Linked DNA regions of Drosophila melanogaster. The protein of the gene in region 2 interacts with the protein of the main gene of each other region in a pairwise test. Each region holds a gene or a part of one and is shown on either strand. Other genes may lie near its edges.

Region 1 (16,050 bases), 5.2 Mb from region 2:
CTGCTGTGCACAGCAGTGCGCCGGAGACGAAACAGATGCTGGATCGGTTGATCAAACGCATCGGCAGCGTGGAGCTACGAGTCTCCTCCTACATCTACATTGGGCAGCTTAAATCCGCCTATCTGCTGGCCAACAAGCACGATCGATTGGCGGATATCCGGCGAATCCTGCGGCAGGCGGAGCTTACCGGTCAGGTTCACATCAAGAAACTGTGCGATATGAAGCTCCAGCTAAGCGCCGCGCCAACGCCTCTGTGATATCCCAACCCTCGAGCAATAACACATTAGTAACCCCTTGTTTCTGGGATTTACTAGCTGTGAGAAATACCAAATGATGAATTTGTAGCTTTGAAAACTCCTGCATTCTAAAAGACAATAACATATCTAAGCAAATTCTCAATTTTGAGATTTAGATGAATATATATTATTCGGAATTGGAATTCATCTTTTGATTATTCACCTAGTGAAGGCCCAAGTTGTTTTGTAACTGAGCTAGCATAGATAATTTGTTTTTAGAATTTAACATATATGTAGATCAATTTTAATCTTTCCAAAGGGCCAGCAAGTATTCCACCCTCCAGCTCAAAAAGACTCTCCCAGCATGTAACCAAATTATATTATTGATTGTACTGTATTTTATATTTATTATGTTATTTTTATATTATACTGTTATATGTTTATTACCCAGAAAATGCGCGATATTTTTGAATTCTTGGGGCGACGGTCAACACTGCTCGTGTCAAGTTTACCAGCACTGACAAAGATCTAAATAAGTGGTAAATAAATAGAATAATTAAGAAATGCGTGCGGTTATACAAAGGGTTAAGGCTGCCAAAGTGACGGGTATGCAGGATCAAATAGTTACCATCTATCATATAATTTTATACTGCTCCCCTAGTGTTGGATGAGCTGGTGTCCTCCATTGGACCAGGCCTGTGCGTGCTGGTGGGAATCAAGGCCAGCGACACCGCCAAGGATGTTGAGTATCTGTAGGTAAATTCCACTCTGGTGATAACCACCTTAGGTTTAGACCACCTAACACAGCTTACCATTCAAGTGTCCGGAAAATCTTGGCTCTCCGTTTATTCGAGGAGGAGGGCAAGCGTTGGCAAAAGTCCGTGAAGGATCTGAACCTAGAACTGCTGTGCGTCTCGCAGTTTACACTGTATCACCGCCTTAAGGGCAACAAACCGGATTTTTTGGCTGCCATGAAGGGCGAGGAGGCGCAGGAGTTGTACAATCAATTTTTGGATCGCCTAGGTCAATCCTACGATAGCACCAAGATTAAAGGTGAGTGATAGGAACACTCCAGCTGGTCATGTTTTAATCTCACTTACTATAATAGATGGCAAATTTGGAGCATACATGCAAGTGCACATAGAAAACGATGGACCCGTAACCATTAATTTGGAGTCCCCCGAACAAAAGGATACTGACAGAGAAGTGGACAAATGATTTGAAAATATATAACAACCAAAGACAACATTTATGTACCACGGGGTTTTTATATAATGTATTTTTTAGCAGCAACTTAAACTAAGAAAAAATCAGCGTACTCGTCCTTAGGCTTCTAACATCTCGAGATCCTCGACCCCCATTCCCTCCTCCAGTTTCTTCTCGAGTTCGCGTGCATCCACGTAGGTGATCTTCTCCTCGGGCAGATCCTCCTCCATGAGGGCGGCCTCCTCTGCCGCCTCCTGGGCACGTCGTTGCTTCAGCCCTGCGGCTGGGGAGCGAATCAGGGACATGTTGCGCTGCACATCCTTGACGTCCATCTGAATCTCGACCTGGCGACCCTTGCGCAGTCGCTCCATGACAAAGTGGCTGGTGCGTTTCTCCTTAATCTCCGTCACCCGCTTGATGGCCTCCAGACCCTTCTGCCAGGTCTCGCGGCTGTATTTCATGGGCACGTTGCGGCGCTTCTCGAACTCGAAACTGGGATCGATGGCCAGCTCCTTGCCGGCGGCCTTGCGGTACGCCTTCGTCCATCCTACCTTGCGGGGATTCTTCTTGCGCTTAAAGGCCTTGTGACACTTGCCTCGGCAGAACTTGAAGACCTGCGACGGAATATGGCGAAGCAATATAAACATCGGAGCACATGTAAACAGGAAAGCAAATCGTTCTTACCTTGCAGTCATTTCGCACGAATTGCACCCCGTGGCCCGGGTATATTTTGCTAGAGCAAAAATAGCACGTTTGAATGCGCATTTTCGCAATTTACGACGGATAAATTACGAAAACAAAACAAATGCGCAAGCTGCTAGCACGTGTGCTGCTGAAGAAGAAGAAATATGAAAATGTATCGGCAGTCAGCAGTGCGACCAGTCACTGCTTATCGATAACACTGGCTAACATGGAAAATAGCTAGATGTAGACAAAAAATATCCAAGCAAGAAATACGTATAAATTGCAAGTGACTGCGATACCAGTTGACAGTTGTATTGTTTTGATAATTTCAATTACCTTCGGTCTTTGTCCAAATCATGTTTTTCCCAGTATGTTTACATTAACTTAAACTGAATTGTTGCACCTGTTTCTCGATAACATCGCATGCGCTCGCCAGTTTGCACCAGCTGTTGCGCCAGCTGATCGCCCGCTCATGCGCTGGTCACACCGCCAGCATCCAAACAAACAGAGCAGCAGACCAAGAAAATCGGACACATCACCGCGAACGAGATCTTGCTGACGTGCGACCAGATGCAGAGCCCTGCCTTCGCGTACCGGGAACACGCAGAACACTCGCCGCGCGCCATGTACATGCGCGACTGGCGATCGGCCCTGCGGACGCCCACGTACCGGATTGGGAATCGGACGGTGCGCTTTAACTATCACTTCGCCCTTCTGATTGTTTGCGCCTTCGTACTCGTCCTACTCTTCTACTTTGCGCGCCAGGGATCGCACTCCTCCTCCGACGGCTACTGGCTGCGCCGCAGTTACACGGATGCCCGGAGTCTGGACAATGGTGGTCCAGTGGTCCAGGCCTACAATGCCACATATCCGCTCACGTCACCCATGGTGCTGCGTGGCGGTGTGATAAACTACCGGATAGCCATGATTGCCGATCTGGACACCAGTTCCAAGGTGAGCAAGGGCGATGGGAGCAGCACGTGGCGTAGCTACCTGAAGAAGGGCTACCTTACCTACACGGTGGCCAGGTCAGAGATCCAGATTAGCTGGGATGACGGGGCGCCGATAGTCCTGGAATCAGCATTTGCCCTTAAGGGCCGCGGAATGGAGCTATCTGAGCTAGTCACCTTCAACGGGCGCCTGCTCACCTTCGACGACCGAACGGGTTTGATATACGAGATTGTGAATGACAAGCCCATTCCCTGGGTGATCCTGCTCGATGGAGACGGACACAGTGCCAAGGGCTTCAAGGCCGAATGGGCCACAGTGAAAGAGCAAACGCTGTATGTGGGCTCCATGGGCAAGGAGTGGACGACAAGTGCGGGTGATTTCGAGAACAATAACCCCATGTACGTAAAGGCCATCACTCCGTCCGGCGAGGTGAGGTCGCTCAACTGGGTGGACAATTTCAAGCAGTTGCGCCTGCAGTCGATGCAAATAACCTGGCCGGGCTACATGATCCACGAGAGTGGAACCTGGTCAGAGGAAAGGAATCGCTGGTTTTTCCTGCCTAGGCGGTGTTCGAAAGAGAAGTGAGTAAGCGTGTCAGCCTTTAAATCCTTAACTCATCGATCTATCTTTGAAAGATACAACGAAACCAAGGACGAGCACATGGGCTGCAATGTCCTGGTCTCCGCCGACGAAAGCTTCACCAACGTTGAGACTGTACGGCTCGATCCTGAAAATACAACGCCCACGCATGGTTTCTCTAGCTTTAAGTTCTTGCCCGGCACCGATGACTCAATAATCGTGGCTCTTAAGTCGGAGGAGTTGAATGGCAAGACGGCCACCTTCATCACAGCCTTCGATATTGCGGGCAAGACACTGCTGCCCGAAACGAGGATCGAGACGGACTACAAGTATGAGGGATTCGAGTTCATTTAGCTCGCCATTCCAAGCTACCGCACTCCACTCTACTTCGATCCAGGTGCTTCAGTTTTAAACGTGTACATATTGTATTATTGTCCCATACGGTAAGCTTTATATTTATAGTCACCTAGATTAGTCCAGAGATGCTCATCTGCCTCATGAACCGTGACTCCTTGTCCCGTCTTGTACCATAGCACAAAAAAAAATTTTAGTTTATTTTTATTAAAATTGAAATATAAAACGTACAAAGCCGGTGGCAAACTCAGAAAAGCCCTGCATCACGTTTCTTTAATCTTCGCATCCAATCCGGCCACCATAAGATCGGCTTTATCGATGCGACCCTCGCTGGCGCGAACTTCCAGTCGATCGGCATTGTGGTTGACATTCCAGAGTTCGGGCAAAAAGCGGGGCTGCATTGTGTGCAGAAAGTGCTGCCGCCATAAGCGCTCCAGCTCCACCAGGCCGCCGAAATGATCGCGATATTGCTGCACCACCCGCTCGCCATGCTGACAGTAGTCGGAGTTTTCTACGCGATATTCCACGCTGGCTGCTTGCCGCAGGAGATCTTCTGTGATGTCCGTTTGATCGGAGTAGTAATCGAGGAGAGTCTTTTCCATTTCGGCCTTCTTTGCAGCGGGTATTTTCGCGCCATGATGAAGTAGTGCCTTGCCAGCGGATTGGACTCGTCTGGAAATAATAAAATGCAATTCAGATTCATTGAGAACTCTATGGAGATTAATTTTATCATATATCAGGGTATGTTTTGGAAAGTTAGGTGATAAAAAAGAGGCAAAATATGTCTGGTAAGATAACTGATAAGGCAATCTACATTCCTCGCAATGTATAATTTACTTTTACTTTTAACTTAGTTCTGAAAATGTATGGCATACTTACTTGAGCTGCGGATCATCATGGTACTTGACAGATCCGTCTTCCTGCTTGAAAGGAGCTTCGCACTGCACGGCCAGTTTGCTGCGAACCCTTAGATCCGAGATGTTGCTTAGCTGGTGGCAGGTTGGGCACAGGAGCAGCACATCGTCGGAGGTGTGAGATTTCATGACCAATGGGAAATGCTTTCTGTATTCCCGCGGTACCACGTTCTTCCGAATGTACGCATCCCGGTCACCACACACCACGCACTGGTTTTTCTTGATTGTTTGATAGAAGCGCCCCACATCTCCGACCGCTCGACCCGCTGGCTCGAAGTTAAGGCGGACAGTGAAGGGCTCTTCGCTTATATGCGTGCCCAGATTTTGATTGAGATACCAGGACGCCTTGCGCCTGTCAATTGTACACAGGAGTTCGCCATCGGGCGCCTGCAGCAGGCAGTTATCGTAGAAGTCTTTGGTTCGGGTAGCTATTTGCCGGTACGGTTGCTTCTTGGGCACCCATTTATTGCTTTTGGATTGGGTGGAGCCCTTTGAACGAGTTACTCCGCTGCCGGACGGGTTGAGTGTGAAGCCTTTCGTGAAGTCCACGTCGAGAAAGGGTTCGAATTTGTTGTGCATGCTATTGTCGTCCAGTTGCCTTCGTTGCCAAAAGTGTTTTGGCTGCAGATCCCTGCACAATTTTTGATAAATGGCCACCGCCATAAGTGCGTCGTTGGCAGCGTAATCAAGCTGTTTTGGCTCCAAAGTCTTGGCCTCCCAGTTGGAGCAGGCCAGGCGCCAGTGCTTGTCCAGTGTATAGTTCAGGTGAGTTTTGGAGAGCTTTCCCAGTCCCTCAGGTTTGTGGCCTGCCATTACGCAGAGGAAGCGCAGATCCAGTGTGCTGGCCACGCCTACTCCATAGTCGTGCGAAAGTTTCATGGCATCCTCCTGGGGTGCCACGCCCACTTTGATCACGGAATCGTCCTCGAGAAGCTCCCGCAGATCCTGGGGTATTTGTTTCATATGGCACAGTCGGAATAAGGCACATAGACCCCGATGGGAGCTCAATTGGAGCAAGGCCACTGGCCTGCGGCTGCCGCCCACGGTGATCCACTCGCAATCGAATCCAAGGACTTTAAAAGTCTGGCAGTGACTAAGAGGCAGAATATATATATATATTTCCATTGTCGTGAAATTAAAGTGGTTTTTACTTACTTCTTCAGTTCATTCAAAACCCATTGCGTGGTCGGATCCTGGACGGAGTTGATCACTTCTATGCGTCGCTGGGGCACCAGGCTGCCGAAGGACCAGACGCGACGCAGTGGACACAGCAGTCGGTGCCTGTGCCGCACCAGGACGTATACCAAGCCAACTCCTGCGGCCAGAATCGCCCAATTTCTTTTGGTGGCGACTGCCGATTCCCGAGTCATTGTTCTCCTTTCGGAGTTCAGCAGCTGATTGGCTGGCCTGCCAACTTACGTTTTCACAAACCGTAAAAGCCGGTCTAAACAAGTTTCGGAATATTTATAACCGTAATTTGAATGTGCTATGCCAAAATAGTTTTACAGTTTTAATACATTTTAAGCAAAACTTGTTTCAAATCTTTTAAAAGTTCATAAAAATATATCGAAATAAAACCGTTAAACATGACGAGTCGTTTAAAAAGGTGGCATTGTTGGCTGGACTAAGATCTTCGGGGTGGCAATACTGGCCCACAGGGTTTTCCGGAATCTCCATTCGCGAAAAGAATTAAAAATGTTTAATTAAACGCAGTCGGAGCGTGCAAACAATGAATAAAACTCAGTGAAACTGGCGGCGGGGAAACGATGTGCCATTGAAAACGCAGAAAAGGCGGCAGCAGACAGTGACACAGCGCGTAAATAAGGAAGGCAATCGAAAGAAATCGATTTTTCAGGGCAGGTGGGCTACCATTAGACTCCCCACACTCATGCACACATATTGATGCAAATCCCATTTGCAGGATGCTGAAACTTTGAAGGAATCCAGAAACTGTAGAGAAGAAACCCCACAGAATGCCGGAAAACCTCGAGCTTCAGCAGTTCCAGGAGGGCGCCCCGCCCCCAGATCCCGCCCCCCGTTGGCTGGAGCGCTTGCAGCGACGATTGGGCGCCGATTGTCCCTACTTGGGTATCCTGCTGGCCACGCTCTCCTCGCTCTTCTTCTCCCTGTGCTCGGTGATTGTGAAGGGACTGGTGGACGTGAACCCCATGGAGCTGGCCTCGTTTCGATTCGTCGGAGTCCTGTTGCCGGCACTGCCCATCCTGATATACACGCGACAGCCGGTGTTTCCGGAGGGCAAGAGGGTGATACTGCTGCTGCGCTGCTTCATGGGCACAACGGGTCTGATGCTCAGCTTCTATGCCTTCCGACACATGCCCCTGGCCGATGCGAGTGTCATCATCTTCTCCACGCCCGTTTTCGTGGCCATATTTGCGCGTGCCTTCCTCAAGGAGCCGTGTACGCTGTTCAATGTCCTGACCATCAATATGACATTGCTCGGCGTGGTCCTCATCACGCGCCCACCCTTTGTGTTCGGTGACACGGCGGAGAGTGAGGATGTCGCTGGGAAGACGTACGACATCTGGGGACCAGTGGCCGCCATATCATCCACACTCTTCGGAGCCAATGTGTACATCCTGCTGCGGGCGCTCAAAAACCTGCACTTCTCCGTCATCATGACGAATTTCGGTACCATCGCTCTGGTCTACACACTGATCGTTTGCGCATCTATTGGAGCTGTGTGCTGGCCAAGCTGCGGACGGGATCGTTGGCTGGTCGTTGTACTGGGCGTATTCAGCTTCCTGGGCCAGATCCTGCTCACGCTATCGCTGCAGATCGAACAGGCCGGACCAGTGGCCATTGCTCGCTGCGCCGACATCGTCTTCGCCTTCGTCTGGCAGATGCTCTTCTTCGGAGAGACGCCCACCGCTTACTCGCTGGTGGGTGCGGTGATGGTGATGGGATCTGTGGTTCTGACGGCCCTGAAGAAATGGGCAGGCACCCTGCCACGCGAGTCGTCGCTGCGGAAGCGATTCAGGCTCATCCTGCTGGAATAGTGTGGTTCCAGAGCAACTAAAAGAGTTCGCGGTTTCTCCCTCGTCTTGTCACATCGTTCTCACCCAATCCCGGCAAGCATCAGTGGCCGGCAGCAAACCCGGTTCATTCATCGTAGACTCTACTTATATCAAGGCTCAGATCGTAGATTAATCAAAATATATAAGAAGGGACGCGTGATATCCACTCCACTCATAAGTAAATACTCGTAGTGCGTGTTTAGTTTAGCCAATTTCGCCGATTTGTTGTTTTGTACATTGTTATACATGCTTAAAATACGGTAATAAATACAACTTATGAATAAAATAAAAACAAGTTATAATTTGCATTTGAATTTCACGCTCTTCTACATGCAAATTTGCACTACATTTTTATATAATTCATTTAAATAGTTATAAATAAACAATAAAATTTCAAATCTACAGCGACACAACATTTTACATTACTTTGTAAAAATTCCGTTACATGTAGAATACAGACGGCGCGACATCGATACATACATCGACATCATACATCGATTGCAGAATTAATTTTACATCCACCTCTAGTTTTTCGTTTGTTTGTTTGTTTATTATTGTTTATGTTTATATTCTCGAAGCACACACACTCGAAAAAACAGAGCAAGGAACGGAAACAGAAACGGAAGACAAGCTGAGGGACTAGAAGCCCAAATCGGCAATAACCGCGTCCAGTTCGTCCTGCAGATTGGTGGCCCGCGATCGCACCTGCACAATTTGATCCTGCAAATTGTCGACGTTCGCCTGGAGCAGCACATTGCACTTCTTCATCGCCGCGAACCGGCTCTCGTGCTTCTTCACGCGCGGCTCCACATTCGCCTTCTTCGCGGAGTTGGGCGAGTCCTGCGGAATACGGTACAGGTGAGCTGGCTAAATAGTTTACGATTCTCTGGGGCTAACTCACCTCTGGCTCGGACTCGCTGCCCGTCTCCGCCTCACTTTCCTCCGATTCGGACTCCTCGGACTCGTCGTCGGATTCCTCCTCTTCTTCGCTGGCGTGCTCCTCCTCGGCCTCCTCTTCGTCCTCGTCCTTCTCCTCGCCGTCCACATCGTCTTCGTCTAGCTTCATGGAGGCAGCCATCTTCTGCACCTCCTTCTCCAGCTTCTTAAACTTCTTGTTCTCCTCCCTGTCATCCAGAGTTGTTTCCAGTTTAAGAACAATACTACATTACAATTTGTACTCACTTGAGGATACTCTGGTTCTTCTTCATGGCTTGCTTGAGGGCGTCCTTCTCCTTCTTGGCCGCCTCCTCTTTGACCTTCAGTTTGGTAAGCTTGCTACGCAGGATCTTGAGCTCCTTGCCAGAGCGACGCTCCCTGCGCTCCACCTTCTTCTCCTCCGGCTCGTCAGGATCGCTTTCGCTGACCTCAGGCTCCAGTTCCGGCGAGCTATCCCTTCCAAAGTTTGCATCGCTTGGTCGACGCGATCCGTCCAAGGATCCACCGCCCTGCAGCCGCAGTTAATGCAAAACGGAAAACGGGAAAGAAGGGATACACACATTGGATTAGTGAGGGCATCCTTGAGCGGGGCCTGATTTTACCTGATGCCGTGCTGCATGGTAGTGGTCGTAGTGGAAGCAATCGTCGTAGTCGTCGTCGTCGTAAGCAAAGCAATTACTAATGTGCGGTCTGTTAGTGCTTGGTGTCGCCTTTGCAAGAGAGCGTGAACGGGTTAATCGGTTAGTTGCCGCGGAGTGCAATAGCAAAGCTTTCAGGGGGATAGGAATCGGGACCGGACGTGTCCTAGACGGGTCATAACACCGCTTTGGTCTGGGCGGAAGCAGAATGCGGGTGGCGGGAGTCTTTCATGCAGCATGCGTCCGGCAGTTGGAGTTTAAGGTCGTCTACACACGAGATCTTCGGACATTGTTTATACCTCTCGTTTCGTTTTGATAAAGATTACATTTTTTAATGTCTACCATGGCATGGCCAGGTCCATTATTTGCTTAAAGAAAAATTCTGGAACCTTTTGAGCATTTCCCCAGAAACTTGATTTTGTTTTGTCTGGAATTGTGTGCAAGCAAACAGATAGCACAGGTAAGGGATGAAGGCACCTTACTTGAAAAGTATGGCTTCCGAAATTTAATACAAATTGAGCTTTGATAAAATATGGTCAGTTTTGAATTTCATTTTTCGCTTTCTCTTGATAATAATTTTACTATTCAACTTGTCTGATTCCTTCTCAACAGCAAGCTGTCTGCTGGCTTCAATCAGATTTCTGGTATTTTAAGTCTCGTGTGCAAACCGTTTTTAAGAAGGAAGAAAACAAGGTGTATCCACGGGTAATCCTTTCCCAGACCCATTCCACATTTGTGTCAAGTGTTGTCAGCTGATCTGTTTCTCTGGCTACAGTGGCTACTAGGGACAACTAACGAGGGATCTAAGGCGGAGTCTACGAATTGCGGTGGCTTCGTTAGCTGCTCCCGTCTACTTGCCGCCCTCAGCGGACGCAGCGAGGCGACGCCGGCGACACTAAAAACAAGAAAGAAGGACTAGCTTCGGAGTCCGATGCTTTGCATACCCTTGGAGATAGTTATGTTGTAAATGGTTGTAATCCAAAATCCTAATCTCAACTGACAACACTTTGAGCAGCATCCCATTACCTACATATACATATTACCGAACCCGTTCTGCAAAAGGAATTACCTGAAGAGCTGCTGCCAACTTGCGTTCGAGCAACTGAATCTGGCGGCGCTGCTCCTCGATCTCCGTCTTGGCCTCCACCAGCTGCTCGGCGGTGCTCTGATAGTTTTGCTCCACCTCCTTGGACACCTTCCGTGCGTCCTCTACCTCGCGCTTCAGGGAGTTGACGTAGGTCTGTTCGGCGGTGGGCGTAGGATCCATGGTGGCCACAATCACATTGGATCCGTACTCGAGATTCTTTTCGCGTGACTTCTCGCGTTCCAGTTCGGTCTCTAGGGTGCGGATTTTGGCCAGCAGCTTCTTGTTCTCGCGATCCTGCGCCTCACGGTTTCGCAACTCCAGTGCCAGCATTTGTTTGGTGCTCTGCAGATCGTCGCGGATCTTGTCGATGTCGTCCAGCTCGTCGGGGCTTTCCTCGTCGATGGACATAGCCGATACGATGCTGGGCCGGGATCCTCCGGCTCCCAAGGCCGTGGCACTGCCCGGTCCGAGTGCATGGCTGCTAGGCGCCTCGCTGAGCATGTTGATCTTCGACTGCGACTTCTGCAACTGCTCCTCGATGGTCATCTGTCGGCGGAACTTGCGCAGACCGTCCAGCACCGGCTTGCTGCGATCGTTGGTCTTCGTTGGCTTCAACTTGATGCCGCCCTGGATCTGCTTGAGCAGCTTGTTGTGCGAGTTGCCCTTCTCCGTCTCGTAGATGAACTTGTCGTCCAATTTGGTTATCGACTTGCACGTCAGGATGGGCTGAGATCTATTAGGATTTGAATTGTTATAAAAGAGATTTTTGAACATTTTCGTGCAGAGTTATCTATTATTTGGCTGCTGGTACTTCTGCACACTTAAAATTTAAGTAAAAGTCATTAACATTTGCCGGATAAAGTGGCGTAAACGCAGTAAGATGCTCTAGGTACTCTTTCCTGTGGCCTTAAATAACTTCAGTTTTCATTCCCTTTTTAATTATCGGGAGTATTGCAGTCGGTAATTACTGCACAGCATGCGGACACCACTCACCTATCGTTGCAGGCCACATGGCGCAGCTTCTTGCCGCTCTCCACCTCCTTCATCATCTCGGACCAGTCGGGGCGCCTTCGGGGTCGAGTCCTGCGAATCGAAGCGAATCGGAATTATGGCCATTCTGCGCCTTCAAGGTAAAAACTATCCCGATGCCAGGATATTCGGGTATGCAAGCACTGGCGGTGGTCAGGGTTCATGGGTCAGTCGTCGAGGTTTCCACTCACCTGAGCTTCTCGAGGGTCTCCTTCTGTGTGCTGCTGAGCACTCTCTTCTCACCGGGAGCTAGGGGCGGGGGCGGCGGTGGCGGGGCCTTGGGCACCAGCGAGGGCAGCGGCGGCGGGGCGGGAACTGCAACAATAAAACACGGAATGCACCCAAGTGGGCGGCGGTTATTCTCTGCCAAATGGTGGGTGGGGCACTCGCTGCAAGTGGTGCAAGTGGGCGCGAGGTTTGGTCGTTGGGCATTAGAGCAAATCGCCGGGCGCTGCGTGCACTCGCGGTTATTAAATATAATTTTAATTTAATGAGTTTGCAATTTGTTTCAGTTGTTTGTTGTTCTTTCGGCTCCCGGGGGGTTCCTTAGTCAACCCGCCAGAGGATTCGCCACCCCAGTATTTAGCTGTGCTTTGCGAGCAAAGTTGCACCATACATATCAATACAGGGCAAAGAGAATGGAATGGATGGCTTTACACTCCGAACATTAAGGGTTATTTATTCCTTTTCGGTTTTTGTTTTAAAAGGTTCTGACTCTATCAATTCCCCAATTGTATTAGTTTAAATCTATTTTCATCTTTTCAGCTAGTACATTTTAAATCACTTAAATGCCAATCTTAAGCATATCTAACATTTTCCTTACAAAACAGAGGACCCAAACTATTATGTCAGCTGGATTATACATTTTAGAGAATACATTTTGGGAATTGTCTAGTGTTTTGAAAAATGTCAGTTCATCATTTCGCCTTTTAGCCAAACACAATATGAATAGAAAAGGCTTATAGTCTGTTTATCTGAAGTTTCGCCTGGTGTATGGGGGGCTCCTAATAGAATGAGAGCCTAGACACATGGCTGTCTCTGTCGGAAGTTGCAGCAGAGATTGAAAAGTTAGTGCCTGCCTCCGTTGCGGCCTCCGCCTACGTTTCGTCCTCGTCCTCGTCCTGCTCCCCCGACACCGTCTTGTCGTGGAACGTGGACCTGGCTTTGATGGTGTTTTATTGCCTTAACACCATTCATTCGATTTCTTTGGGACTCATACACAGGCATGCATCAAGATGGGTTTCTTTCATAATTTTTTATCGAATACTTTGCATTCCTTCATGCTTTTTCCTTTCGGCTTGTTGTTCAAAAGTGTAAAAGTCAAACAACAAAAAGAAGAGAAAAACAATGAAGGCACCACCACCAGCACCATCACCATCACCATCACCAAGTGATGAAAAGCTGACAAATCTGTTAATTAGCTTTGTTTGAGTGAGTCCTGGCAGGAAGCAGGGGCAGGAGATTTGATGCCTTTTGGGTGGGACTGTGTTACCAAGGCCACAACCGCCAGGGCCTTATCCTTTGTCTGAGCTCCGGCTCCGGCTCCGGCTCCTTCTCCGTCTCCGGTTTAGTCTGCCTTCTCCTTTTTCGGTTTTCCAGTTTTTCGGTTTCTCGGTTGCGCCTGGCTGGATCTGCACTTAATCTTTAAGTGGTTGGCTGCCTTTTGCGGTGCATTAGTATCCGAAATACCTTCCGAAACCCCCTCGACCTGAGTGAAAAAGAGGTGGATAACTTGGCCAAACTGGAGAGGTAATGAAACTAATCCGAACTCGTGTTACTTTGCCGAATAAAATCAGAGCAAACGACCAACTTGATTATTGTCTAGAGCTGCTTCACCTCAAGCTACCGATCCTGCAGCTCCTCATGAATTTTCCCCCAATGTCTGCATGTTAATGAACTGCTTCCATGGGGGCAGAGAAGCTCTGATTAAAATACGTGGTCAACTTTTCGGACAGCCAATTGAGGACGCGTTTAGTGAGTTGCGCTCAATTCGGTTTAGTAATTTATGGACAAAAGCTCTCCCCCTAACCACTAAACCCGCCCTCGAATCCCTGGCAGTTATCCTAAATCAGTGGCAAACAAAAGTGGAAGCGGGCAAGAAACAAAAGAAAGCACAACAACATCACGCGAAGAGAAACGAGGCAAGGGTGCCGGGCAGATAAAAGTCTTCATTCATTCATGTCGACAAAATTATTTCTTATTTAAATAAAAAGCAAGCACTGCCACTGCCACGACTGAAGATGAAGAGCAGGAGCAGGTCCTGGTTCTCGGAGCTCCGAGTTGAGATGAGGCTACCCACTTAATATACCGCAAAGCCCGCACTTACGACGTCGCAGAATGAATAGCGGTGTATGTAAACATAAATTTTGCGAGCTCACTCTCGGTGAGGCATGGCACCCTCCTCATAAAGCCCCCTCCTGGCTCATTGTGTTATCATCAGCGGAATATTCTATGCATGCACAAATGTTGCCGTTGTCATTGAATCAACCCGGAGTGTGGAGTGTGGAGTGTCGGATCGGGTCTTCAAAAACTGGCGAACCCCAGGCAACTGGAGTGGGTGAGGGAAATCTGCTGCTGCTACAGGGTACTGGTTACTGCTTACTACTGGCTGGTTACTGGTTACTGGGAAGTGGAGTTCTGGTCATGGACTGCTGCCAGCCCAGCCGCCCGATGAGTGACTTCCCAGCTTCCAGGCTGTGCTCATTCATTGTCTGCCGGGGCATGATGAAGCACCGCTCAGCCAGCTCATATATTTCATGACACAGAATGGTAGGGAGTCGTTCCCCCAAAGCTCCTTTGTATGATTAGCGTTTCTGCCTTGGCCGGAACGCTGTGCGAAAGGGCTAACCAGGGATTACATGGGGCTTTTTGTAAACTATTTGGAACCCGATTAGCTCGGAAATGATGCTGTTGGTTTACCGCAAAATTCTAAGTATTTCTCTAGGATTTCACCTCGAAACCAAGTTCATTTTCCTCTCTATGAAGTGCAGCTTAAATTTATATATCTTTGGAAGCCGCTTTGGTATAAACGAATTCGGTAATGTTTTCCTTTCACAATCATTATTAACCCTAAAATAAATACAGCTCAAATTTCGAATTTAAAGCAAAGTTTTACATCTGAGGTTGTCCAATCCAACGATAATTCTGCTTTATATTGCAGCATTTGTGTAATATAAGCTGTAACGTTTTTATAAAATAAATTAGATATCATATTATTTTATTTGTTTATTTATTTTTGTTTACCGAATACTTTTGCTGTTTCCGCTGGACGGTAATCTTTATTTAATTTCCTTTGTGCCTCCGGAGACGAGCCTTAAGTCCAATTAGAAAATTCAATTTCAATTTGGATTTGTTGTGGCGTCGTTTGGGGGACACTAATCCAATTATGCAGTCAACCATTTCATTGTCGCCCAGTATAATTATGGCCAACAGCAATTGGCCAATATTAGCAAGTGTGTATATATATATATGTGTGTGTGTGCCACAGAACTTTGAACCATTTTCCTTTACGTCATTTTGACCACGCTACATCTAAATTTGAAAGAGCCTAATCATCTTTTATGCTTCACCGGGTAGGTCACACACAGAAAACCCAAAATGAAAATCACCCTCACCTATTGAAAGTCGACGTTTCTAATGACGGGCAGACCCTAGCCTTCACCACCACCAACACCACCCACCGCTTGACCCTGGAAACAAAAAAGAGCCAAGAGTTTCCCAAAAAAAGGAAGGAAATATGGGGCGCAGCCGTTACATGTCTCGCATCTACAGAGGGATACATAGAGATGAGGCTCATTTAAATAAAAGAAAATATTTTTCGTCCTGCCGCTGTTTGTCCTTTGAAGACATTCGAGCCTCTTAAGAGGGGAACTTGCGGCCAGCGCCGTCTTTTATTTCGTTTTGTTTTTTAGTGGCGGATATTTGAATATAAATGGCGCATTTAGTTAGACTCTATCAAGCTCATTCCCATATATCTTTGGCTGCTTTCGGCTCGGCCACATTCTCCCCCCCACGAGGATTCACTTCCAATTGGAGTCCGAGTTGCCTTTTATCATTCGATAGTTGCCAGTTTTTTCTTTTTTTTTTTTTTTGGGAATGAAACTTAAGAGACCAGGACGCTGGCCGGCCATGTCCTTGTGTCTCCTCACCATTGCTCATCTGGCTTTAAAACATTCTATTTTATGTTGTAGTTTTGACAGAATGAGCAATAATCATGAATTTTGTCTTAGACCATAAAAAAAGCCCACTCCACTGCGGACCCTTCCTCACAAGATTTCACCCGAACACATTAAATAAATGTTTCGCTCTCTTTTTTCCTAGTGTCCTTCTATGCTGCTCCCTTTTTTTGTTCGCTTCTGTTTGATAGGGTGACAGCTTTAAAACGGACGAACGATGCTCTGT
Region 2 (14,660 bases):
AATCATTCCGGTGGATCAGTGAGTGCTTTATGAAGTCCGTGTTGAGTAGTAGATTCTTTTCACTGGGAGCTAAGGTGTAGATGGCGGGCTGGGATATAGCATTTCGTTGGGATTTGTCTTTGGATGTTTGCCATATGCTGGCCAGAGCCGCATTTGCACAGTAGTCCACGGGCACCAAGCTGGCATAGCCATCTTTATCGTAGGTGGTCAGGCGGAGGACTCCATGGCTCACGCCATAAATGTGAGCAATGGGTCCGTAGAGATTATCGATCCAACCGGAAACAGGCTCCTCATGGGTCGCAATTACTGTGAGAAAGCCATGTTTATCAGTTTATCCTCTCCTTTTAACCACATTGAATACTCACTGACTGATGGCCGGAAGATACTCAGGGGAAGATCGCCGAACTCTCGTAGGACTACATCCTCCGCCAAGGCTTTGGTGTAGGTGTAGGTGTTGGGAAAGTTCCCAACTAGAGTGGGTGCCAGTTTGTCCATCATTTGCTCACTCAGTAGCTCACTCATGGCCAGAACCGAGTTCGCGTCGCAGGTCAGGTGTTCGGGATAGAATTTCTCCTCGATGCGAAAAATAACGCAGTTGGAGAACGCCGTTGAAATGTGCAAATAGGCCTCCAGCTGAAGCATCTCCTTGGCCAACTGGAGCATGAGTCTGGTGCCACGTGTATTGATGGCCAGTGCCACATGAAGTGGCTCATTGAAACGCACGGTGGCTGCTCCATGGATGACTATGTGCACCTCAGAAACTAGGAGCTTGCGATCTGACCTATTAATGCCCAGATCGGGGTCCAGACAGTCGCCAGCGATGACGAAGATTCTCTTCAGGGCATCTGGCTTTGCCTTTAGCAGGACTTCAAAAAGCTTGAAAAGTGAAAGCAAATCCTATGAGGGGCTCTACCTTGTTGTAACTTTTGACTTACTGGGTCCTTCTGCCATATGGCAAGACGTTCCTGAATATCCTTTCCCCTTTTGGGTCTCATCATAGCGTAGATACGTTTTACTTCCGTCGTTCGCAAGAGCTTCTCAATAATCACTAGGAAAATGTAGGTGAAATACAAACAGTTCACGTGGGTTCCTTTCCTCGGCTCATACCCTTTCCCAGAAACCCGGTGGCGCCTGTTAGGAACACCACCTTGTCTTTATAAAATCCTTGGATGCCGTTGTCCATTTCCGTTCTGGATACGATATTGTTCGGCGTCATTGTGAACAAATTCCACCGATGCGATAATTGCGAGTTAAAGACACACTTCAATAGGAAATCAATTGGGTATGGTCGCGCTTTTTATATTTGCTGCGACGGTAGACGCAGTGCCATTTGAACAGTGACCCGGCCAATCGTATGCTAAATTATATGAAATACACCTGAAATACCTAATGAATAGTCACAGCTACGGTTGAATTGCATTTCTCGGTTCTCGGCTGATTTGAGAACTGCACTGTCATCCGTGCTCGTTTGTTTTACTTTAAACACTGTTGCAGCACAATTGGAAATTTTGTTAAATAATGAAAGTTCGTTCTCCACGCCATTTTGATTAGCGTAACTCAGAAATTAAATGCAGATATTATGACAAATATTCTTCCTGGTTTTATTTGAAGAAAAGGTTAACAGGGACTGGAAATATTCGTTTTGTAATATTTAGGATCGGCTTTTGGGATCCAAACAAGAATATTTCTCTTTCCCTCTTTTTCCAAATAATTTAAATATTTTAAAAACCGCTGAAAAAAACTTAAGTCGAACATTTTTACGGATTATACCTTGATCGTACGAAACATACAAAAAATATAGATATGTAAAATATAGATGTATGTAGAAAGCTTAAAATAAATTTGTCAAAAATAAATTGGGTCCTTGAATAAATTTTCAACGAACGGAAGCCTTTTTAAATTTGTAGAAATTTTGTAGAAAAAGATTATAAATTCCCGACATATCTTAGAAATTAGTTTATAAATTTCAAAGCATACTCTTAGGCATCCACCTAAAAGGAGTTGTAAAAAGTTGCTAACGAAGTCATACAAATGTGCTCTACTCTTTTTTTTTATCATATCGAGTGATCCAGGAATCGAAAGGTGAAGAATAAGCCAAAAAGGATCGCATCCCAATGGCTTTGATGGCTCCGTACCAAAAATTTACAAATACAACAAACTGTATTTATTTAGTCGATTGCAAATTTATTTTTCGTCTCTAAAATAAATCTCTGCTGTTTTGCAAGTCACTGTGCAAATGACACTAGGTTTTTCGTTTTTATATTTTATTTTTGATAATTAATTTAAGCATCAAAATAATATGTCATACCGTTGAGTCTGTTGAGGACATCTAGCCCCTCTGCGAAAACTAAACTACAAGTCTGGCCAGAGAATACAGGATGTAACCAGCTAAAGCAACCAGCGAGGATGCGAATGCATAGTGAAGGACCTTCAGGCTGCAAACATTTTATGTTACTTAAAGCGATTGGAAAGTGTCATTTTGAAACTCACCGCATCCTCAGCTTCAGACCCTTGGCAATGGACTCCGCGGTGGGTTTCTCCTTGCCAATATAGAGACGCATTCCATACATGGCGGCCTTGAAATAGTCATTCCAATCCAACTGGGCCATGTCGAAGTCGTAAAGGTTGCGATCCTGCTTGGACATCGCTTCCCTTAGCTCCATTGTGTTGGTCATGTCAAAGTTCCAGGTGGTACTGGAGAACGGACCCAGGACGGCGATGTTCTTGTGAATCTTCCGATACAGATCCACGAGTATGGGCTTCCGGCCCTTGAGGCGCAGCAGCAGATCGAAGAAGTAGCCGGGAAGGGTGTGTAAGAAGAAGGCGGCCAGCGGAAATAGGGATGTGGTGGAGATGCACAGGACGAAGGGATACCACAGCATCTTGGTTAGCGGTATGATGTCCCGATAGATAATAGATGATTTGATAAAGTTTCCGTAGCTCATCAGGTTATTCTCGCTAGGTGCAAACGCGTAAATGGGGGGCGTCGTGACCTTTCCATTCTGTACGGATATCTCCGCCGTTCTCCAAGCGCAAGCCAATGCCACATTTACGCAGTAGTCAGCGGGAACTAGGCTGATCTTGGCTGAAGGGTCCACCGTGGTGACCCGCATTATACCGCGAGCTCCGCCGAAGCAGAGGGCCAGTGGTCCGAATAGGTTGTCCACCCATCCAACCAGGGGCTCCTTGTAAGTGGACATTACTGGGAATATTTAAGTTGCAGCTTTTGAAGGTTATTCCCAATCTGGTGCACTTACTGATCGCCGGTCGGAAGATGGACAGTGGCAGGTTGCCCGCCTCCCGCAGGATCACATCCTCGGCCAGGGCTTTGGTGTAGGTGTACGTGTTGGGGAAGGAGCCAACAAGGCTAGGTTCCATCGCGTCCAGTAATTTATTGCTTACCAGTTCACCCACGGCTAGGATCTTATCCGAACTGCAGTTCAAGTGCTCCGGATAGAATCGCTCTGCGATGTCATGCACCACGCAGTTGGAGTAGGCAGTGGATACGTGAACGAAGGACACCAGCTGGGTCATCTGCTTGGCCAGTTGAAGCATCAGACGAGTGGCTCGTACATTGATGGCCAAGGAGATGTGTAAAGCCTCGTCGAATCGCACGGTTGCAGCTCCATGGATTACAATCTGCACCTCGGCGGTCAGGATCCTTTGATCCGATTGGCTTATACCCAGATCCGGATCCAAGCAGTCGCCCGCGATGGGACAAACTCGCTGCAAGGCATCTGGCTTCGTCCTTAGGAGCACCTCAAACACCTTCGAAACACGAGCGGTCAGGACACATCTGTCACTCTAGCACTGAATATCACTCACCGGATCCTTTGCCCAGGTTGTGATTCGGTCCTCGATAGGCACTCCCCGCTTAGGTCTAATTAAGGAGTAAATCCGATTGACTTCCGTGGTCCTCAGTAGTTTCTCAATGATCACTGAAAAGCACACTCCATAAGCTTGCGAAAAGATTCGAGGAGTGGGGTACCTTTTCCCAGAAATCCGGTGCCACCCGTAAGGAACACGGTCTTGTTCTTAAAGAATCCTTGTATCTCGCTATCCATTTTGTTCCGAGTAAGGGTCTTGAACGCGTTGCGAGCCAGTGAACTGAAAAGTGATTCCAAACTAGCGCTTCTATTTATTTGGGAATCTATAAGTTACACCCAACAAAGGTCGAGTTCAGCATATTCAAGACACCCAATGGTCTCCCGTTTTAGGGAGGAGCTCGTGCTCTAAACTCAGCGAAAGTTTATTTTTTGGGTATAGATAATTATTTGTGTTGCTTCGATTAAAGGCCTAGTTGCATTTATTAATTATATTTTTGCTTACGAATGAAAATAACCTTGGTGCATTTAATTTAAAATTTTAAAGTTGATTCGAGACTTAGTATAGAGCTGCCATCTCTTGCGTGAAATTCAAATTAGTATATGTGTGAATGGTAAACAAGAATGGTAAATGATAAATTGCATGCGATGACTTTGTATTTCCGCGTATATAAATTTTGTATGGGCACGTGTAAGAAGTCCCCGATCAGTCGTTACGTAATCGCATATAAGTATCCTCGTGACTACACCGTATATGTGCTAGACCTTGTATTCTGTATAGGAACCACACATATATATGTTATATCATAACATTTTATATACCAATTTATGGCCTATTTATTTCAATAAGGTTTGATCAATAGAATACCAGAGAGCGATTTCAATTAAAAAATTATTACATTATAATAGGTGCATACTATTGTATATATATCACTTCTTGATGTAACCAGTTGCGTATACTTTATGCAATCGATTGTGTCACTCAGTGCACCTATTTAGATCGGCTCGTGAGGAAAAAACCTTATAGCTACCACCATTCAAGTAATTAAATAAAAGACATGTCTATGTGTTGTATATATTTATTTAATTCCATGACGCAATTACGAAAGTGAGTCGGTGGGTTGCCTATGTACTGCTGAATCAGACTAGGATCCTTACCAACGACCACAGTGCTAGTAGTGCCACAAAGCAAAGGACACCTTGCAGGATATGATGGAGCAGCTTTAAACTAAAATACAATTAGATGTAATACACTTTGTAAGAAACAGAAAAGACAATGGAAACTACCGCTTAATGAGCTTCTTGCCCTGTGCAATGGACTCTGGGGTGGGTGCCTCGTTTCCCAAGAACTGTCTCATGCCACGCAGAGCTTGAACGAAGTATTCCTTCCAGTTGAGGCTGACCATATCAAAGTAGTATATCCTTCGATCCTCCTCCGACATCTGCTGCCTCAAGTGATCCGTATTCCGCATGTCAAAGCGCCAGCTTTTGCAGGCGAATGGGCCCAGGATGCCGAGAGTCTTGTGGATCTTTTGGTAAACCTTTACTAGTCTGGGCTTCCGGCCACTCAGCCAGAGAGCCAGGTCAAAAAAGTAGGCTGGCAGGGTGTGATAGAAGAAAGCTGCCAGGGGGAAGAGCCACGGCACTGTGATGCAGTGGATGAAGGGATACCATATCATCTTTGTCAGCGGGCAGTTGGTGCGTCCATCGAGAGCATGTCGAATGAACTCCCCGTGGGTGATCTTGTTCTGCTCAATGGGCGCCAGTTGGTAGATGAGAGGAGTTTCTTGTGTTCCCATCTCGTTACCTTCCACAATGGTCTTCCAGGTACAGGCCAGAGTCAAATTGGCACAATAATCCACGGGCACCAGGCTTGCCTCGGCATGGTGATCGATGGTGGCAATGCGCAGTACTCCACGGGCCACCCCGAAAAGAATTGCCATTGGTCCGTACATGTTGTCTATCCAGCCGGAGATGGGTTCCTTGTGGGCCGCAATAACTGGGTAAGGGTAGAAATGACAAGATGTAGACAGAGTACGTAATAAGGATTACTTACTGACTGCCGGTCGGAAGATGCAAAGTGGCAAGCCACCCGCTTCCTTCAGGATCACATCCTCCGCCAGTGCTTTGGTGTACGTGTACGTGTTGGGAAACGAGCCAAGGAGCGCTTGCTCCATGTTGTCCAGTAGCTCGTCACTCATCAGCTCTGCCATTGCAAGCACCTTATCGGAACTGCAGTTGAGATGCTCGGGGTAGAAATTTTCCTTGATGTTGTAGATAACGCAGTTGGAGAAGGCGGTCGATACATGAACGAAGGCCTCCAGCTGCCTCATTTCCTTGGCCAGTTGAATCATCAGCTTGGTGGCCCTTGTGTTGATGGCCAGGGCCACGTGAAGCGGCTCATTGAATCGCACGGTGGCAGCTCCATGGATGACAATCTGCACCTCGGAGGCCAGAAGTCTTCGATCATTCTCGCTGATTCCCAAATCAAAGTCGAGGCAATCCCCAGCGATGGGACATACTCTTTGAAGTGCCTCCGGCTTGGACTTCAGCAGCAGTTCAAATACCTTTTCCACACCTTTCGAGTGAGTATTTCTTTTAAATTTCCTATCGCCTTACTTACCGCATCTTTTGACCAGGTGATAATCCGATCCTTAATCTCAACTCCGCGCTTTGGTCTAATTAGCACATAGATGCGTTTCACCTCTGTGGTCCGCAAAAGTTTCTCAATAACGACTTTACCCAAAAAGCCGGTGGCTCCAGTTAGGAACACCGTTTTGCTCCGGAAGCATCTTTGAATATCCGTATCCATTTTTAGAAGTATGGTTTACGCTTGAATTGGCGGCGAAAAAAAGTCTATCCGATAGAAGCAAAAGTTGCAGTCGTTTTTAACAAAGAACGGCTTTAATGAAAATCACCTTGATTTCACTGCGGATATTTATACAAAATTTTCGACCGTGCGGTGAACTGAAGACCCAGGGCTGGTAATCACGAATAATATTATAGAACTTACTTACGCATCTGGTTTCCAATTTTATTGTATGCCAGGGTAATGGCTCCTAAAAGTAGTGAAAGTTGTTTGCTATTTAAATAAACTCTTCAGTTTACTTTATTACTGCACCCCTGTCTTATTTCCCTATATGTTCATTTCCATATTCTTTTAATCGAGTATAGCCTATTTGCTAACCAAATGCGCTACAAAGGAGGTCTAAGTACGGATTTCAAGTAAGATTATGAAATACGAACCATTTCTTGTTTGTAGAATTTATTGGCTGTCAGTGTCGTTCCCTATTGAAACATTTAATTTAGTGATGAAAACAACTAAATATAAAGATTAAATTACGAATATTTTGAAAAATAAATAATAAATGATACCCAGAAGGTTTTAGATTAGTTCATGATTAGATAACCGGTTATTTACATTTATTAAAAAATATTAATGTGTAATTTAAATACTTATTTTTGCGAACATGTCGACATAAATATGTAACGCTCTACCTTTGTGTTGAAACTGTGAAGATTTCAAATTTATCAACTTCCTATGTTTTTCCGCCAAAGTAGTAATGACTGTAAAAAATGTATGTTTGCAATTGCCTACTTTTGAAATAAGCAGCTAACTGGATTTGTTTTAAAACGTCATGGCAGCCTAGACGAAATACGGTCTGCAGCTTAACATTTTGTGTCACAAAAATAAAATAAATAAATAAAAAGATAATAATTATTTTGAGCATCGCGCATGTGATGTAGAAAAAGTCTTACCCGCGCCCATAGCCCATCGCTAGAGCCAACTATCGATATATATAGTATCGATTTTCTTATTGACAATCAGAATCAGCTGTCTAGTTGTATAATTTTTGATGTGAGGTGAGGAAATGGCATGCGCCAAGAAATTGCTTTTTCGCGTTTTCCTGAATAACTCTTTGACGGCGAACCGCACAATCACCATGTCCGCCGCGCGACGTGCCGAGGAGGCCATTGAGAAGCTGAAGGAGGACAATCCCTACTACTCCAAGTACGCGAGCAAGATTGCCAAGTTGCAGCAGACGTCGGCTGAGGAGTTCCTGGATCGCGTGGAGCGTGTGGTGAATCCCATCAAAGATGGGCAGAGCCAGGCCAGGTAAGCTCAGTATTCGGGCAGAAGACAATCCATAGCTGATCCCTTGCCAATTCCAGGTCCTACTCCGAGCTTCTGAATCCCAAGCAAAAACTGCAGGCTGAGCAGGCAGCTGAACTGCCCCACAAGAAGCTCACTGATATCATGAAACTGGAACTGATTGAGGACAAGACCGCCGAAGAGGTCTCCCAGATTTGGCTGGAGTACCATAAGACCAAGGAGGTCCTGGCCGCCACTCTAAGCACATCTCAGTACGAGAACCTCATGGCGCGCGCCAAGGAGCACCCCGTCTTTCTGCTGCCACTGCCCCGCAGTGAGGGATTCGAGTTTGTCATGCTCCAGTTCGCAGCCAACACCGTGCACTTCACTCCGCTTTTGGCGTACCAGGTGCACCATGAGAACGCTCCGGAGTGTCTCACAGTGGTTCACTATACCGAGGTCCAAGACAAGGGTGTAGTTCTCATGCGCGGTGAATACGACACTAAGGTACTCACAGCCCAGGAGGCTCAGTGTCTGGCCAATGAGTTGCAGATGTTCTACCTGAAGCCCGACGAGGGCAAGCTGCGCTTGCTGAACACTTTTACCCGTAAGCCGGACGAGTTCAAGCACATGGATCTAATTAAGGAAGTTGAGAACATACAGCTGGTCTAGGCCCTGCGATTTTAATCAAAATAAATAGAACAAACACGACAAGGATATATTAAACACGAAACAGTATTCGTTTTGCAAATTTTAAGTCCTAATTAATAGCCAATGCACACAAGATGGAGCACTTTGATTCGGTGATGGAAGATATTGGTAAATATTCAAAAGTCAAGAAACGCTTTGCATGCACAAGCATAGCTCACGCCCACAGGTTTCGGAAGGGTCCATCTCTTTGCCACTGTGACACTCGGTCTCCTGCAGATGCTCACCATCCAAGAAACAATGGGCATGGGCATCATTGGTCCGGCGGCCGTCTGCGATCTCCGCATGAATGAGGCGCAGTTGGCCTCGTTAACAGCGGCCGGCTTTATGGGCATTATATGCTCCTCTTACTTCTGGGGCTACATCACTGACAAGAAAGGTCGGCGCTGGACCCTTTTGCGGACCATTACTATAAGCAACTTGTGTTCACTGGCCTCAATGTTTACGGTAACATTCACTGGCTTCTTTGTCATGCGCTTCATCACATGTATTTTGTGAGTACCATGAGGAGATCGAAGACCACAGTGTACACTTAGAAATTTACGCTTTCCTTCAGTGTGGCCGGACCAAGCTTCGTGGCAGCCACCTACCTAAGTGAGTTCTGTTCGCACCGGATTATGGTCCGTTCCATAACTCACTTGTACATGTTTACTGGCTTTGCCATGATCTCGTGCCCTGCGTGGGCTACGCTCTTTCTCAGCTCGGGCTTAATAGAGTTTGAGGAGAAGTTAGTGGGCTCCTTGACACTAAGACCTTGGCGGGTTTTGGGTTGTTTGTACATTCTGCCGGGTGTGGTTGCCTTTTTGCTGTTGCTCCTTTTGCCGGAAAGCCCCAAGTTTTTGCTAATGATTGGTGAGACGAAAAGAGGCTTAGATACTATGGAGTGGATATCCCGCAAGAACACCGGACGTACTCTTAGCGAGGATCAAATGAAACGTTTGCTCGCCTACCAGGAGCACGTTCAGGTCAAGCGGCGGAAGGAGCATCAGAACTTCTTTCGCTCCATGCTGGACGATGCTATGCCCCTCGTTCGGAAGCCCTACGGCGGCTATTTCACGTGCGTTTGCATGGTTATGTTCGTCCTAGGGCTGCTGTAAGTATCGGTTGAAGGCTAGGGTCGTTATCTTTTGCTGATTCCAACAATTCACAGGACACACGGCCTGGGAATTTGGTATACGGCCATGCGAAACCGTTGCAATATGAGGCAGGGGAACACGAATGGCATGACCTTCTGCCAGGTACTTTTTGTTCCAGAAACGGGTCCGTTTATTGAAACTGAATCGGACTTGGACGTGGTAAGCCAAGAAACCTCCGCTAACTAGTCTGCCAACGTTTTTAAAAATCAACATATTCATAATTTACTAGGTCTGTAGTGACTCCTTTAAGGGCTTCAACGATTCCTTTGTTCTGGGCTTTGTCTATGTAGTGCTGTACAACATATCCTGGGCATCGCTATTCTGCGTGCACAAGAAGGTGATGTTCGTATTCTCCCTAGTGGCCTCCTCGACATTTGGATTTCTGCTTATCTTTGCCACCAACCACATGTTGCAGCTCTTTTCGCTCGTGTTCCTGATCGCTTTTCCCGGCATCATAATTGGGCTGCTCGGTGGTTCCCTATTGGTATTCGTGCCCACCTACCTGCGCGGCAAAGCCCTCTGTATCAGCCTGATGTGGTGCCGATGCGGAGCGGCGTTTGGGGCCATGTTGGTGGGCTCCAAGATCCAGTACAACTGCGAACTCTTCCTGTTGGCGATCTCCATACTACCCTTGAGTAAGATGCGATGCCAATGATCCTTGAATATAAGTTATGCCATTTCTAATTGCTTTACCTACAGTTGCCGCTTGTATGGAGGGGTACTTGCCATTGTGACTTCAGGGAATATGTAATAAGTAATAAGTAATTGCTCTCTTTAGCCATGTTATCCAAATTAAAGCGCGGCCCAAAAGTAGGCAAGTATGTCATGTCTTTGGGTTTTCATTAAAGCGACTTGTAGTATACTCAAGGTAGCAAGCTGTATATTTCATTTTTTATATTGCTGAAGTGAAAACCATAATTTGATCTTTGCACCATTTATTTAAGTATTAACATCGATTATTGGGGTAATTCATTTATTCAACCGACATCAAGACTAGAGTAAATACTTATTTCTGTAGCTGCAACTACTTGTTCTTTCCCAGCACGTTAAACTATTGCCCCGAAAAACAATTTAAATAAAAATGCGTATGCTAATAACTATCATCATGAGTTAGTGACGTTGCCATGGTCGTCTAAAATGGATTTAGAATATCTCCTCCTCATTAAAACCGCGAGCCTGTAACATAAATCTATAATTTTCCGCCCAAAAGTCAGTTATTCTATGCTTACAAATTCTCCTCCATTGTTGGCATTTTTTCCTAGATTTATGTTGTCCATCTCGTGATTCCTCAGGATATCCATCAGCGATCCGCGCTTTCCGAACCGAACGCGGGCTCTGTCGCCGTAGTAGGTGTCCAGATCCTGCAGGAACTTGTAGGCATCAGCCATAGTGTTGACATCGTTCTTTCGCGGAGGTCTGGAGTTGGACGCCTCCACTCGGCAGCCGGCGGCTAGGAGGGCAAGGGCCACACAGGCAACCAGGATGCAACGCATTGTTTGGCACATAGTTCTATAAATGGCTAATGTATGTTTATGTAGGATGTTTTGTGTATCATTATAGAGCTATATAATATCTTAACTCAGTTAAGCTTAATTTAATTATCACTGTTCTTTTAGTAATTTGTCATGAGAATCCGAAAGGCATGCTAACATTTCGATACTTCGCAAAGTTAGGGAAGGTCGCAAAAAATTAGCAATAGCTAATAAAAGCGAACACAATAAACTTCGGTTATTTTCTGTGAGTCTTTTTGATTTATAATTTTACCAAATACGTACACACATATTACCGATGGTAATTTATAATAGTTTTTTGTTTACAGAATCGATAAAAATGAATAGTTAAGTAAAACACGTGAGCGTAACAATGTTTGTTTATAATTAGATGGTGTTTTTCCATTTACAATAATCGATGACAGGGTAAAAAAAAACCTTAGAATTAACTACCAATATTAAGTAATTTAGATCTCGTATCGCTCGGGGACCTATTTAGGGGTCTGGATCTTTGGAGGGCCTCACTTAATAGCGGGCAATCTAGTATGCTAATTGACTAAAACTAGGCTATAACTCGGTTAAGTGATCGTACAAGCTTACTGCCGTCACTTATGGTCCCTCAATGATTTTTGGGCGGGACTGACGCAAGCTGCTCATACTTCGGCCCGGAAAATAAGCAAATAAAGCCGATAATTACGAGAATTACGCGAATTATAAGGCACTTAGCCTCTAGTTAAACCCGACTTGCGCCCACCGAAAGGATGTGGCTATGAATCACAGTTTTAGGGCCTATTCGTACTAAAGAGCTCATAAAATAGTTCTAAGAAAGCGCTTTTATTTGCCATACCTGCTCTAAATGACAGCTCATTGTTTGACTATATTATTTGATATATCTATCTACCATAAGTGTCTAAGTGATTTACGGGGCAGCGGGCCTGGGTGTTGTTCCGTTAGAAAACCCTTACCTGGTTCAACTGGGAGTTTGAGTATTGGAAAGCGCAACGGTGTCACAATGCAATTGTTCGTCGGACTGTATGACTGTGTAATCAGCGGACGCGACCGTGAATAAATGTTGGCCGAAAGCCATTGGCAACAGGTATTTATAGGAGTCCCCGGCTGGAGGATGTGCCCGGCTTATCATCGCCGACCAGCCCACTCTCCAACCTCATCCAGATCCCGAGCAGAAGCGAACGGAAGTTGGCCAAACGATTCGAAACGAAACGAACACCGTGCGAAACCTCTAAAATGTTTTCATATGCAGGCTAATTATGTGGCTGCTGTCGCGTTCAAACTTTCGCAGCAGCTGGAACGGAAGAGCCACCGGGAGTGGGAGTGGCAAGCGAAGTGGGTGGGCGGTATGGAAATGGGAGCGTTGAATGGAGAATGGAAAATGGTGAACGGAGAACAGAGAACGGAGATTGGCGGGCGCTAACAAATAGTGACAGTTGGCTAACGAGATATCTGAAAACGGGGCTATCAGGAGCAGAATTACGCATAACTGAATAAATGACAAATTTTCGATAAGCAGGATTATAGTGCCTGCCACTACCCCACCTGAATTCGTTCTCGTTTGGGTTCTCTGATTTACGTGCTCACAGCCTGGGTCGACTAGCTGACTAGCTGCCTAGCTGCAATCCTCCTTCCGCCTTCGCTGGCGTCAGCGAGCTGCGGCTCTGTGTCATTAATTATAGTATTTTGATTATTGTTTAATAACTGTTGGCTTAGACGGCGACGCTGATTGCGATACGATACGATACGCGACCCACCCGTCCCGATGAGGTATTAAGTGCGCTGCTCGACTTCCCATTGCTATTTAATTTGGGGTCAGGCGGTTAAGTCATTTCAATAGAGATTCAATCGGACAATCACTGCTGTAATCTGCTTGCCAGTGGCTACGGTGCGTATACGTAATATGCTTTCGCTTGTGGTATCACAACAACGTGACATCATGAAGCGGGTTCTCTGGCTCTTCTGGATGGTTATTAACTTAATATTTGTTATAAGCGTTCTGACTAATTAACGCTCTAGCCATTACTTACTTACCAGCGTTTTTCTTTTTCATTTTTGTCTCCGTTCTCTCTCCCTGCTACTGTCGATGTGATTACCGCTCCAATTAAACTCGTTAGATATTCATATTCATTTGCGACGGGCGGTAGCGTTTTATATTTAAATCTAATTGGCATCCAACATTGTTGGTTCCTCATTGTTCGGCTAGAGAGTTTAGCTCCAGTTCTAGTTCCATTACCGACCGCCAATATAGAGCACTAGCCTTTTGCTAATAATCGGAGCCAAGATAGGCGGTACATACTGTAGCGGTGGCTACTGGAAAAGCTCTGCCGTATGTTTACCTTGCGATCGACATTCATTACAGCATCCGCGAAGCGGACAATGTCTGGCCGAAGTCCCCTGAACTTTCCTGCACTTTTTTTTATATTACGATTATCATTACTCCACGTGGAGAAAAGTGCAATAAATTATTAATATTAATATATATTGTATAATAATTTGTCTGTCCTTTGCGAGTATTAATAATTTATTAGAATGTTTTTCGTAACACGGCACACAGTAGTCGTTAGATTTAACGCATATTTCCAAATAAACGCTTAAAATGTATAGTCCTGTTTTATGAAATACGTTTTTCAACCAATTATCTGATATTTACACTCGAAGCGTTTCTTAAAACACTTTGTTTCCAAAATATTGCTTAGATAACACCTCACTTATAGTTATTCTCGCTTTCTGGCCTCGCGACAGCAATAAACATCTTGTTTGATCAAAATCTAAAAGGTCGACATTTACACAACCACTAATTAGTTTTATAACGTTCTGAAAATGCAATTTTGGGTGTAATTATATTTGTTTTGTGACTCAGCTTAGTATTGAGATATATTTTTTAATTGCTGACCGAGTGTCACATGATTTATACAATATATAAGTTCTAAGGCCTTAAAGAAATGCATGTTAAGCATGTTATTCAAAGGATTAAAACCATTATCGTTATTTTTGTCGCATCTTTTCCTTTGGGGTACTTTCAGATACAGCTTAGTCATCAAACAGTATTTACTTAGGTGTTCCTATTTACATACACTTAGCAAGAGCTAGTATAGGTTAACCTATACGTAGTAAGTAGCTGCAACAGTTTCCTGCTGTGCAAGTTTGTAGTTAGCCGGGGAACCCCTGCACTGGTTCAAGGACATCTGCAGTCGAATGTTCCGCATTGAAAGCCGCCTGTGCCAGTCGAGTCTGGCTGTCTTTCGGGTTTTCCCAGCACCGCCTATATGCACTTCATTGTTCTGCTGGATGCGACTTAGCAGGGCTTTTGTCACCTTCCATGTGCTAAATTGCCAGCGTCACTGTGCCAGTAAGTGGCTCAGACAAAACTTGTGGCTGATGCGGCGCAGCAATTACG

Evidence for each region.
Region 1: the proteins of CG10340 (region 2) and CG17230 interact in a two-hybrid assay, tested with the Drosophila melanogaster proteins (one large-scale study listed by BioGRID).

Annotation. Positions count from the first base shown.
Region 1 is NT_033777.3:11,429,283-11,445,332, forward strand, and holds the start of CG17230 (uncharacterized protein), read left to right. Parts: upstream 1-8,502; 5' UTR 8,503-8,598; coding exon of another isoform or gene 8,599-8,799; 5' UTR 8,800-8,817; intron 8,818-8,860; coding exon of another isoform or gene 8,861-9,083; intron 9,084-9,141; coding exon of another isoform or gene 9,142-9,404; intron 9,405-9,497; coding exon of another isoform or gene 9,498-9,605; intron 9,606-10,602; coding exon of another isoform or gene 10,603-11,353; intron 11,354-11,613; coding exon of another isoform or gene 11,614-11,703; intron 11,704-11,840; coding exon of another isoform or gene 11,841-11,964; intron 11,965-12,909; exon of another isoform or gene 12,910-13,024; intron 13,025-16,050. Other genes in the region: Sptz (spastizin), read left to right, coding at 1-257; Dtd (D-aminoacyl-tRNA deacylase), read left to right, coding at 800-842, 898-988, 1,057-1,289, 1,345-1,454; RpL24-like (ribosomal protein L24-like), read right to left, coding at 1,562-2,056, 2,127-2,207; CG5276 (uncharacterized protein), read left to right, coding at 2,697-3,658, 3,713-4,010; Exd2 (exonuclease 3'-5' domain-containing 2), read right to left, coding at 4,274-4,682, 4,890-6,017, 6,080-6,294; CG5281 (uncharacterized protein), read left to right, coding at 6,898-7,941; sals (sarcomere length short), read right to left, coding at 8,599-8,799, 8,861-9,083, 9,142-9,404, 9,498-9,605, 10,603-11,353, 11,614-11,703, 11,841-11,964.
Region 2 is NT_033777.3:16,607,385-16,622,044, reverse strand, and holds CG10340 (uncharacterized protein), read left to right. Parts: upstream 1-7,653; 5' UTR 7,654-7,696; coding exon 7,697-7,941; intron 7,942-7,997; coding exon 7,998-8,589; 3' UTR 8,590-8,647; downstream 8,648-14,660. Other genes in the region: CG14893 (uncharacterized protein), read right to left, coding at 1-306, 366-876, 936-1,048, 1,108-1,216; CG17560 (uncharacterized protein), read right to left, coding at 2,348-2,435, 2,491-3,202, 3,258-3,768, 3,826-3,938, 3,989-4,064; CG17562 (uncharacterized protein), read right to left, coding at 4,965-5,052, 5,112-5,823, 5,881-6,391, 6,448-6,636; CG12783 (uncharacterized protein), read left to right, coding at 8,703-8,736, 8,795-9,119, 9,182-9,718, 9,776-9,920, 9,991-10,396, 10,461-10,495; NPF (neuropeptide F), read right to left, coding at 10,905-10,937, 10,991-11,266.